Linked DNA regions of Saccharomyces cerevisiae S288C. The gene in region 1 interacts genetically with each later gene. Each region holds a gene or a part of one and is shown on either strand. Other genes may lie near its edges.

What was found.
Region 2: of ERG26 (region 1) and CCC2, extra expression of one is lethal in a mutant of the other (dosage lethality), as found in Saccharomyces cerevisiae (one study listed by BioGRID).

What each region holds. Positions count from the first base shown.
Region 1 is NC_001139.9:494,360-498,367, reverse strand, and holds ERG26 (sterol-4-alpha-carboxylate 3-dehydrogenase (decarboxylating)), read left to right. Parts: upstream 1-1,865; coding exon 1,866-2,915; downstream 2,916-4,008. Other genes in the region: EFM5 (protein-lysine N-methyltransferase), read left to right, coding at 334-368, 431-909, 1,003-1,235; ERP6 (Erp6p), read right to left, coding at 3,201-3,851. UniProt on the Saccharomyces cerevisiae protein: Sterol-4-alpha-carboxylate 3-dehydrogenase; part of the third module of ergosterol biosynthesis pathway that includes the late steps of the pathway.
Region 2 is NC_001136.10:1,001,496-1,009,799, forward strand, and holds CCC2 (Cu(2+)-transporting P-type ATPase CCC2), read left to right. Parts: upstream 1-4,179; coding exon 4,180-7,194; downstream 7,195-8,304. Other genes in the region: E3 ubiquitin-protein ligase HEL2, read right to left, coding at 1-528; iron-sulfur cluster assembly protein CIA1, read right to left, coding at 1,015-2,007; tryptophan--tRNA ligase MSW1, read left to right, coding at 2,509-3,648; hydroxyacylglutathione hydrolase GLO2, read left to right, coding at 7,515-8,304. UniProt on the Saccharomyces cerevisiae protein: Copper-transporting P-type ATPase necessary for the proper uptake of iron. Required for export of copper from cytosol into extracytosolic compartment.

The DNA.
Region 1 (4,008 bases):
GAAATCACGCAAATATTATGCACTAGTAACCCTCAATCTCTAAATAACTTATATTGTCATCTGTAAGGCAGCAAAATCCAAGATGGGCAATGTATATAGGTATATAGTTTAGTATTGTCATCTCATAGAATATCAACTGCATAATATACATGTATATATAATTTCCCATTCATTTAGAGGCTTCTTTTTTCGTCTGTATCGCTGAACCTTATGCCGGTTAAATCTAACAAAATTTTTTTGAACTGGAGGAACTAAAAAAAAAAATATTAATCTTGACTAATATACTAATCAGTCACTTTACATCTTAATGAAACCGAAAGAATCACTGATAAAATGTCCGACTCCGACTCCGACTCCGATTATGAATTGTAAGTACAGGATATTTTCAACACAGTAACGTAGAATTACTAACTAACACGAAACTTAATAGGACACTTTCTGCTAATGCCCTCGCTGCCCTTGAAGAATTCAAAAGAGAGGAACAACAACATCAAGAAGCCTTTCAAAAGCTTTACGACGAAACGGATGAAGACTTCCAAAAGAAAAAAAAAGAAGAAGGGATGAAGCTTTTCAAGGAAGATTGGCAGCTTTCCCAGTTTTGGTACAGCGATGACACAGCCGCAATTTTAGCAGATGCCATATTGGAAGGTGCGGACGAAAACACTGTAATTGCAATAGTTAGTGCGCCATCCGTCTATGCTGCCATTCAAAAGAAACCTACTAATGAAATTCCAACCGAACATATCTACTTGTTCGAATTTGATAAGAGATTCGAGTTGTTAGCTGGAAGAGATCATTTCTTTTTTTATGATTACAATAAACCACTGGACTTCAGTGATGAAATTAAAGGAAAAGTTGATAGATTGTTAATTGACCCACCTTTTTTAAATGAAGATTGTCAAACAAAGTGTATGTATATCATAAACATATCCCTACTCATTTTTTAATCTTTTTTCCAGTATCTTTTCATCTTACTAACTGTTATTCATTGATATAAAATAGCCTCTATCACTGCAAAGTGTTTATTAGCGCCAAATGACAACTCTAAAACTAAGAAAGGAGTTTTTAAGCACCGCCTCATAAGTTGTACTGGTGAAAGAATGTCTGAAGTCATATCCAAAGTTTATTCTGACACAAGAATAACAACTTTTCTTCCTGAACATTCTAATGGTTTGAGTAACGAATTTAGGTGCTACGCAAATTTTGAATGTAGTTCATGGAAATTTGCTTCTTGAGCTTTTTAAGAGCTTCGATAAATTTGAAAATTAATTGTACTACATAAAAAATATGTAAACATCAATATATATAATATAATCACATTTCAAATATATCACGTGTTATATTTACTATATAAAAATTCAATAAATAAAAAGTTAGAAGATAAAAATTATATTATACATATTTTTATTTTTATTATAATTTTTGTTTTTGCCTTCCGAAAAGAAAATAGTTTTTTGTATTACGGAAATTACAGAAAAATGTTTAATTTTGATTTCATATTTTTTCTTTCTTTGAAAGAATATTGACGACAAAGTATTGGATAATTATAATGCAAGGAAAGGATATTTGTAGATCTTCGGTTCAATGAAAGTTAATGCGGTATGAATATTGCTTTCTCCAGGACCTTTTTTTTTTTTTAGAGGCTATTTTATTGTCGGTGTTTGTGGATTTTATATTTCTCGGTCCGATAGTCCCTATAGATCGTTTATTGTTCTCTCGAGAAATGGTATCGTTTAAAAATCTCATATAAGCCTGCAAGGAAAAGATTATGCTGCAGCTATAAAATAGAATAGACAACAATATAGATTGTCAATTTTGTCCAATTTTATTTGCAACTCTACCTGGAAGGGCAAACAAAAATAAATATGTCAAAGATAGATTCAGTTTTAATTATCGGTGGTTCTGGTTTTCTTGGATTGCACTTAATTCAGCAATTTTTTGATATTAATCCTAAGCCAGACATCCACATTTTTGATGTTAGAGATCTCCCTGAAAAACTTTCAAAACAGTTTACTTTTAATGTAGACGACATAAAATTTCATAAGGGTGATTTAACATCACCTGATGATATGGAAAACGCAATTAACGAAAGTAAAGCAAATGTTGTTGTTCATTGTGCTTCTCCAATGCATGGTCAAAATCCAGATATTTATGACATAGTGAATGTTAAGGGAACCCGTAACGTGATAGATATGTGCAAGAAATGTGGCGTTAATATACTTGTATATACTTCCTCTGCTGGTGTTATTTTTAATGGGCAAGATGTGCACAATGCAGACGAAACCTGGCCAATCCCAGAAGTTCCTATGGATGCGTACAATGAGACTAAAGCTATCGCCGAAGATATGGTCTTGAAGGCGAATGATCCAAGCAGTGATTTCTATACTGTTGCTCTTCGTCCAGCTGGTATTTTTGGCCCAGGTGATAGGCAATTAGTACCTGGTCTAAGACAGGTTGCGAAATTGGGGCAGTCGAAGTTCCAAATTGGTGATAATAACAATCTATTTGATTGGACTTATGCTGGAAATGTTGCTGACGCGCATGTGTTAGCTGCACAGAAACTTCTCGATCCAAAAACAAGAACTGCTGTCTCGGGTGAAACTTTTTTCATTACCAATGATACCCCCACCTATTTTTGGGCCTTGGCCCGTACTGTGTGGAAGGCAGATGGTCATATTGATAAACATGTTATTGTTTTGAAAAGGCCAGTTGCAATTTGTGCAGGTTATCTTTCAGAATGGGTATCCAAGATGCTGGGTAAAGAGCCAGGTTTGACTCCATTCAGAGTCAAGATTGTGTGTGCATACCGTTATCACAACATTGCTAAGGCCAAAAAGTTGCTAGGCTACACACCAAGAGTTGGTATTGAAGAAGGAATTAACAAAACGTTGGCCTGGATGGACGAAGGTTTGTAATGGCAATCGTTAGGAGCTTTTTGATCCGATTATCGAAAGATAGTATGTTGAAATAGCATATCTGATACGCACCGTATATATTTATTCTGTCTTTATAGATGAATAATAAGAATTGAAACACCTAAAACATCTTGATGACTAGGTTAGTATATATATGTATACACTCATTTAATGACTACACTATGAAGCGTCGGGGTAATGCATGTAAATAAATAGAAATAAATCATTGAAACAACGAAATTCTCATGTATGCCTGCTAAGGATTCAATTTTTTGATATGTACGGTCATAATACTTTCTGCTTAACAAAAAACGAGCGTAAACTTTTCATTTGCCATACACAAATTATAATGAGAAGAGTAACTTGAGTTACCGTCCACCACATTGCGCGAGAATTCACAGACTCTGATATGTCTCTAAAGGATTCTTCACGTTCTCTCATCAGTTGTTGCTCTCTCCTGATATCCACGATCTTAGAATTCAATATACTGACTTTTCCGTGCAAACTTTCCAAGGTTTCTTTTCTTTGCATGTCCAACATTGCTTCAAAACCGACTTCAAATTCGATTTCTAACTTTGTTTTGGTTTTCCCTACCCAGTTATTTACCCTAGACTGTAAACAGATCTTATATTCTCCAGATTCCAAAGCTAGAAAGCTGAAGTCACCGGAAGGAGAGCCCTGTTGGTGGACTACCCTATGATTATTATCAAAGACTTCTTCCACATCTATGACAATGCCATAGTCATTATAACTGGGAAGCGCATAATCTGCCAACTTATCATCGTAAACTTCCAAATTGTAAGAACCTTTTAAAAGGGTGTCTTTGGATAGTTCCTTCAGGAAGCATTTTCTGTCTCCACCATAACCATAGAAGTAAAACGCGGAAACTCTGAATGGCAATAAAACGAATGCCAGGAAGATGTAGTGTGATAACATTGGCAAATCTAGATCCTTTCAGATTGAGGCGATAAGGAAGAAAGCGCCAACAATCTGTTCACAACCTCACCAATAAAGTCTATCAGTAGAGATTTTAACTATACACCCCATATCTTGTTGTGTCGATATTGGTTTCTTACCCGAAGAACGAGTTTCT
Region 2 (8,304 bases), on another chromosome or scaffold:
TTTCAAGTGTTCATTATATTTCTTGAAACTACCAAAGTCACAAACTTGTTCATCCTTCGATAGGGGACAAAAAAATTTTAAAAGATTTAGTGTTTCGGTAGCAACCTCTTCGCTAGTGAAATTTATTCCATATTTTTCATTTTTTTCGCAAAAGTTATATTTATCTGAAATATCACCATCTATGCGATCGGTAAACATGACTTCTTCATTCTCCGTTCTGCAAATCAAACAGCTTTTCTTGTTGTACAAAGCTCGTTGTCTGAAACCACAGATATGGCATGTCTTATGATGGCATGGTGTTAGAGATACGTATGTTAACTTGCGCGCACAAATTACACATAATTCATTTTCTTCATCAGTATCATCTGCGCTTGAAGTGGTGAGGTTGGGTTCAGCAGAAAGGTTATTTTTCTTTTGCTTTCTTCTGAAATTCTTCCTGTCGTTGTGAGGTTTTGTATTATTTTGGGGCCCTTGAGTACGACGGAAGTTACGTGTCGGAGTAACGTTTTCTTTCACTGATTCGCTCATCCTAATTCTTGAAAAGAAGTATAGCCACTATTTTTTCGACGAAAGAGACTGTATCAAAATGCACTTTATGGATCTTTTTCAGCTAGGTATGCGCTCGACGATTTGTTGAATATGGCTGAGTGGGCAGTCGTTCAGATGCCCTTTTCAAAATCTTAAGAGAAAATCAGAAAATATAGCTATTATTAAGAGTGACCGCGAGTATGAAACTTTCAGTGTAACCTTTCTTTATTCGAGATAATGCTTAATTACAAGTCTTCCGAATATCTAATTTTTTTTTTTTTCATTTTTAAATTTCAGTTTTTACCGCATGCTTTTAATGCAGGGATATGTATAACGAGGTCACTCCGTCACACATGACAGAATTGCGTTATAGTGATACAAAGGTTTATGTAACTAGGTAGAAAAATCGTCATTAAGTTTATTTTTAGAATTCAGATCGATCACTGTGTTAATATGAGTTCCTGAATTGTACTCTTGCTTCTACATCTACGCTGCTTTTTCTAGAGACCAGAAATTTACGATCCCGTCGTCACCGCCTGTTGCAAGTATAGTTTTACCATTTAACTCCAACCACTTCACAACGTTGATTTCATAAACTCCATGACATAATGCACGTTTAGCAAAAACTTTCCATTCTCCGTCTACTTCTTCATAGACCGCTAGTACTCCATCCGCTCCTACACTAGCAATGAGGCCATTAAAGCCCCATGCAACATTGTATACCTGTCTTTTGTGTACATCCGGGAGAATAGCTTCACAAACCCATTCTTGTTGATCATCCTCGTCGTCACCCATGTATTTCCATACCCGTACAGTGGAATCGTCGCTTCCACTGCACAGTCTAAACACGCCCTCAGTCTTGTCAAAATCAGAAGACCAAACAGTTCCTTCATGGCCATTTAAGACAGCAACACATTCCCAGTCATCGTCATAGTCTTTCCATATCCTGACGGTGTCATCATAAGAACTTGAAGCCAGTAATGCTTCAGATGGATGCCATATAACATGTTTAACGTCTTGTGAATGTTCTTGCAAAACACTAATACACTCATATTCCTCGCCACTTTCATCTGTTTCCCATATCCACACGCTTTTATCTCTGGAACAGGTTGCTAGGTAATATCCATCATTCGACCACGCTACACCTTTTACTTCATTTTCGTGACCTTCGATAATAGCTAGCAGGTCCATCTCGAAAGTTCTGTCAGCAGATTCTTCCTTAGCCCAGATAGATACAGTGGAATCAAAAGAGCCAGCCGCTAACAGCGAAGTGTGAGGTCTCCACGCCACAGATCGAATCGCCTTTTTATGAGCAGTCTCATCTAGCACATCAATTAACGTAAAATCGTCATATTTCACGCTAACTAGCTTAATTTTTCGATCAGTTGAACCTGTTGCTAATATACCTTGAGAAAAGTCAAAAGACCATATCTTTTCCTTGTAAAGTTTCAAAGACTTAATCAGATTGATAGACGCCATTACCAAATAAGTAAACCAATTGAACTATTAAAATGTCGTGGTATAGCCCGATTTTGATTTGTGATATCTACAAATCTAGTATTTATTCGCAATTAATGAGGCAAAGACGATACAATATTCGATGTGAGATTTTTCAAAACACGGCCCGCTGAGAGCAGAAAGTTTTAGATGACCTATTTGAAGGCAATCACGATGGTATTTTTCAAGAAAATAAATAGTAGTAACACTGCTATGCACATCAGAGTCAGATTCCTTAAATTCAAACGTTTCTACAATTAGTATGACCTTTTCTTGAAGATCTTTTTCTCCTTATAAAGGCAACACAAAACAAGATAGAAGTGCAAAGGTATTTTTTGTTTTTCACGTGATAAAATCGGCTTCGAGAAAGTAGAAAAGGGTATTATGATTTATTACAGGCTACCTGCACCATCTCAAAGGTTTTACGTTACTAAGGAGTGAATCAGGTTTTGATAAATATTTACACTATCTTTTACAAGGAAGATGTCGAATAAGCAGGCGGTTCTGAAGTTAATCAGTAAAAGGTGGATAAGCACAGTGCAACGTGCCGATTTTAAGCTGAATTCCGAAGCGCTTCATAGTAATGCTACGGTATTTAGTATGATTCAGCCAACTGGGTGTTTCCACCTTGGTAATTATCTAGGTGCTACACGTGTTTGGACAGACTTATGTGAATTAAAACAACCTGGCCAGGAATTGATATTTGGAGTTGCTGATTTACACGCTATCACTGTTCCAAAGCCAGATGGAGAAATGTTTAGAAAATTTCGCCATGAGGCAGTAGCAAGTATACTGGCTGTCGGTGTAGATCCAGAAAAGGCTTCGGTGATCTACCAATCCGCCATCCCTCAACACAGTGAATTACACTGGTTGCTTTCTACTCTTGCCTCGATGGGATTACTTAACCGCATGACGCAATGGAAATCAAAATCGAATATCAAACAATCAACTAATGGGGATTATCTGGTTAACGATTCTGACGTGGGAAAAGTTAGACTGGGCTTATTTTCGTATCCTGTTTTACAGGCAGCGGATATTCTACTTTATAAATCTACACACGTTCCTGTTGGCGATGATCAATCGCAGCATTTGGAACTAACAAGACACCTTGCTGAAAAGTTTAACAAAATGTACAAGAAAAATTTTTTTCCTAAACCTGTAACTATGTTGGCACAAACGAAAAAAGTTTTGAGCTTAAGCACGCCTGAAAAGAAAATGTCCAAGAGTGATCCGAATCACGACTCTGTAATTTTTTTGAATGATGAGCCTAAGGCAATTCAGAAAAAGATTAGAAAAGCTTTAACAGATTCCATTTCTGATAGGTTCTACTACGACCCTGTAGAAAGACCAGGCGTATCGAATTTAATTAACATTGTCAGTGGCATTCAAAGAAAATCGATTGAAGATGTCGTAGAAGATGTATCTCGTTTCAATAACTATAGGGATTTCAAAGATTATGTTTCAGAAGTGATAATTGAGGAATTGAAAGGCCCAAGAACAGAATTTGAGAAATATATCAACGAACCGACCTATTTGCATAGTGTCGTTGAATCTGGCATGCGCAAAGCGAGAGAAAAAGCAGCAAAAAACCTGGCCGACATTCATAAAATAATGGGCTTCTGACTGTCCCCGGCTTTAGGCTGCTGCAAACGCAATGTAAATAATAATACAGTTTAACTTGTACGTATCTTTGTTATTTCAGAATATGCAAGATTCCTCACTCGGCAGATCTCATCAATAAACGTTAGTATCTTGAAAAATACGCAGATGTTGGTACAGTCTCTTGCAGAGGGCCAGCACCGTTAGAATGTTGTGTTGCCACCGTCTGGCTCGAAAACAGGTCGATCTGTGTAAGTATTGTCCTGGGTGCAGTTATTTGTAGTAGCGATTTTCGCGGGCAGTGGAAAAGAACGGGTGCAGTGCGGCGATGAGTGCAATTAGCTGCCGAAGGGTTTGCACCGGTGATTCCGAGACCTTTTGCACACACTTGTATATATTTAGGGAAGTCACGGTAACTAATGGATTTCTTCTCAAATTTGAGACATATGGATTAGACTTTAATTCTGCCTGGTACTAAGCTACTTTTCAAAGGTATTTGAGATATTTCGTAAATTTTGCGGCCAAGGAGTTGAGGTGTTTAATACTTAAAACGAAATGAGAGAAGTGATACTTGCTGTACATGGAATGACATGCAGCGCCTGTACTAATACAATCAATACGCAGTTACGAGCTTTAAAGGGTGTAACAAAATGTGATATTAGTTTAGTGACTAATGAGTGCCAGGTGACATACGATAACGAGGTTACCGCCGATTCTATTAAGGAAATTATAGAGGATTGTGGATTTGACTGTGAGATACTAAGAGATTCTGAAATTACAGCCATAAGTACGAAGGAAGGACTACTGAGTGTACAAGGTATGACCTGTGGGTCTTGTGTTTCTACAGTCACCAAACAAGTGGAAGGCATTGAGGGTGTTGAATCGGTAGTCGTTTCCTTGGTAACGGAAGAGTGCCATGTTATTTATGAACCGTCCAAGACAACGCTAGAAACCGCCAGAGAAATGATTGAAGACTGTGGATTTGACTCAAATATTATTATGGATGGCAACGGGAATGCAGACATGACCGAAAAAACGGTGATCTTGAAAGTAACTAAGGCTTTCGAGGACGAATCCCCACTCATACTTTCTTCAGTAAGCGAAAGGTTTCAATTTTTGTTAGACCTAGGTGTAAAATCGATAGAAATTTCTGATGATATGCACACACTCACCATAAAATACTGTTGTAACGAACTCGGCATTAGAGATTTATTGAGGCACCTTGAGAGGACCGGATATAAATTCACTGTATTTTCCAATTTAGATAATACTACCCAGTTAAGGCTTCTCTCTAAAGAGGACGAGATAAGATTCTGGAAAAAAAACAGCATAAAATCCACCCTTTTGGCTATAATATGTATGCTATTGTATATGATTGTCCCTATGATGTGGCCAACAATTGTTCAGGACCGCATATTCCCTTACAAAGAAACCTCCTTTGTTAGAGGTCTGTTCTACAGAGATATTTTGGGTGTAATATTGGCAAGCTATATTCAGTTCAGCGTTGGTTTTTACTTTTACAAGGCAGCATGGGCATCTTTAAAGCACGGTTCAGGAACCATGGATACACTAGTTTGTGTTTCCACTACTTGTGCATACACATTTTCTGTGTTTTCTTTAGTTCACAATATGTTCCATCCCTCAAGTACTGGCAAACTCCCAAGGATCGTTTTCGACACATCAATCATGATCATTTCATATATTTCCATCGGGAAATATTTGGAAACTTTAGCTAAATCACAAACATCAACCGCACTTTCTAAATTAATTCAGCTCACTCCATCGGTGTGTTCAATTATATCTGACGTGGAGCGGAATGAAACCAAGGAAATTCCCATAGAATTATTGCAAGTGAACGATATAGTGGAGATTAAACCAGGGATGAAAATTCCTGCTGATGGCATCATAACAAGAGGTGAATCTGAAATTGACGAGTCGTTAATGACAGGCGAATCCATTTTGGTGCCCAAGAAAACTGGTTTTCCGGTTATTGCTGGTTCTGTTAATGGACCTGGACATTTCTACTTCAGAACTACTACCGTTGGGGAGGAAACTAAATTAGCAAATATTATCAAGGTAATGAAAGAAGCACAATTGAGTAAAGCTCCCATTCAGGGGTATGCAGATTATTTAGCCTCTATTTTTGTTCCGGGGATCCTAATTTTGGCAGTATTGACTTTCTTTATTTGGTGTTTTATTTTAAACATCTCGGCTAATCCTCCCGTCGCTTTCACCGCAAATACTAAGGCTGATAATTTTTTTATTTGCTTACAAACTGCTACTTCTGTTGTCATCGTCGCATGCCCATGTGCATTGGGACTTGCCACGCCGACTGCTATAATGGTGGGTACAGGGGTTGGAGCTCAGAATGGTGTCTTAATAAAGGGCGGAGAAGTATTGGAAAAATTCAATAGTATTACTACTTTTGTTTTTGATAAAACAGGTACCTTAACTACAGGTTTTATGGTTGTGAAAAAGTTCCTTAAAGATTCAAATTGGGTTGGAAACGTGGATGAAGACGAAGTTCTCGCCTGTATAAAAGCAACGGAATCCATTAGTGACCATCCAGTTTCGAAAGCAATTATACGTTATTGTGATGGTTTGAACTGTAATAAGGCTTTAAATGCCGTTGTTTTAGAAAGCGAATACGTGCTTGGAAAGGGAATAGTCTCAAAGTGTCAAGTTAATGGAAATACTTATGATATTTGTATTGGGAACGAGGCGCTGATTTTGGAGGATGCATTAAAAAAATCCGGATTTATTAACAGTAATGTCGACCAAGGAAACACTGTATCATACGTATCAGTAAACGGGCATGTGTTTGGCTTGTTCGAGATTAATGATGAAGTTAAACATGATTCTTACGCAACAGTTCAGTATCTACAAAGAAATGGATATGAAACGTATATGATTACTGGCGATAATAACTCAGCAGCAAAAAGAGTCGCTAGAGAAGTAGGTATAAGCTTCGAAAATGTTTACAGCGATGTGTCACCCACAGGCAAATGTGATCTCGTGAAAAAAATTCAAGATAAAGAAGGTAATAACAAGGTTGCTGTTGTTGGCGATGGCATTAACGACGCTCCCGCTTTAGCACTGAGTGATCTAGGTATTGCCATTTCAACAGGTACGGAGATTGCTATTGAAGCAGCTGATATTGTTATACTGTGCGGTAATGATCTGAATACTAATAGTTTGAGAGGACTGGCCAACGCCATCGATATTTCACTAAAAACGTTCAAAAGAATAAAGCTGAATTTGTTCTGGGCACTTTGCTATAATATATTCATGATTCCGATTGCTATGGGTGTGCTCATTCCTTGGGGCATAACTCTTCCTCCAATGCTCGCCGGTTTAGCGATGGCATTCAGCTCGGTCAGTGTCGTTCTAAGTTCATTGATGTTGAAGAAGTGGACTCCACCGGATATTGAATCACATGGGATTTCAGATTTCAAGTCCAAATTTTCGATTGGGAATTTTTGGTCAAGGCTTTTTTCTACGCGGGCTATTGCAGGTGAGCAAGACATAGAATCACAGGCCGGACTAATGTCAAACGAAGAAGTCTTGTAAATAACAGGTAAGTCTAATTTATTTAAAAAAATCCACGAGCATATAGATTTATAACAATAATAATAATTAATATTCATCAATTTTTTAGTAAATTCATATATTTTACTCCTACTCTATGTATTTTCAGTAAGTCTACTAGTCGTATTACCCGTCGGTTTCAAGGGATATTATGGAGGTAATAAGGATTTTTTTACCGATTTAAAAACCCATTATATCCCTCTTAGAAAAATTTTAGTATTCTTAGATAAGTTGCTAGATTTACCAATATCAAAGGGAAGACTGCAGGACAACACAAAAACACAAGAAAAGGAGGACAAAAAATGCAGGTTAAATCGATTAAAATGAGATGGGAGTCTGGTGGTGTTAATTACTGCTATCTATTGTCCGACAGTAAAAATAAAAAATCGTGGCTAATCGATCCAGCAGAGCCTCCTGAGGTTCTGCCAGAGTTGACTGAGGATGAGAAAATAAGTGTTGAAGCAATTGTTAATACACATCACCATTATGACCATGCAGATGGTAACGCTGATATCTTGAAGTATTTAAAAGAGAAAAATCCAACTTCAAAAGTTGAGGTTATAGGAGGGTCAAAGGACTGCCCAAAGGTTACGATAATTCCGGAGAATTTGAAAAAGTTACACCTAGGTGACTTAGAGATTACTTGTATTAGGACGCCCTGCCATACCAGAGACTCTATCTGTTATTATGTGAAAGATCCAACAACAGATGAGCGCTGCATTTTTACTGGCGATACACTATTTACCGCTGGTTGCGGTAGGTTTTTTGAGGGTACAGGCGAAGAAATGGATATAGCTCTGAACAATTCTATCTTAGAAACTGTGGGCAGGCAGAACTGGAGTAAAACGAGGGTTTATCCAGGACACGAATACACAAGTGATAATGTAAAGTTTGTTCGTAAGATTTACCCGCAAGTTGGTGAAAATAAAGCATTGGATGAGTTAGAACAATTCTGCTCCAAGCATGAAGTCACAGCAGGGCGGTTCACTTTGAAAGATGAGGTAGAATTTAATCCATTCATGAGATTAGAAGATCCAAAGGTCCAAAAAGCTGCCGGAGATACGAATAATTCATGGGACAGAGCTCAAATTA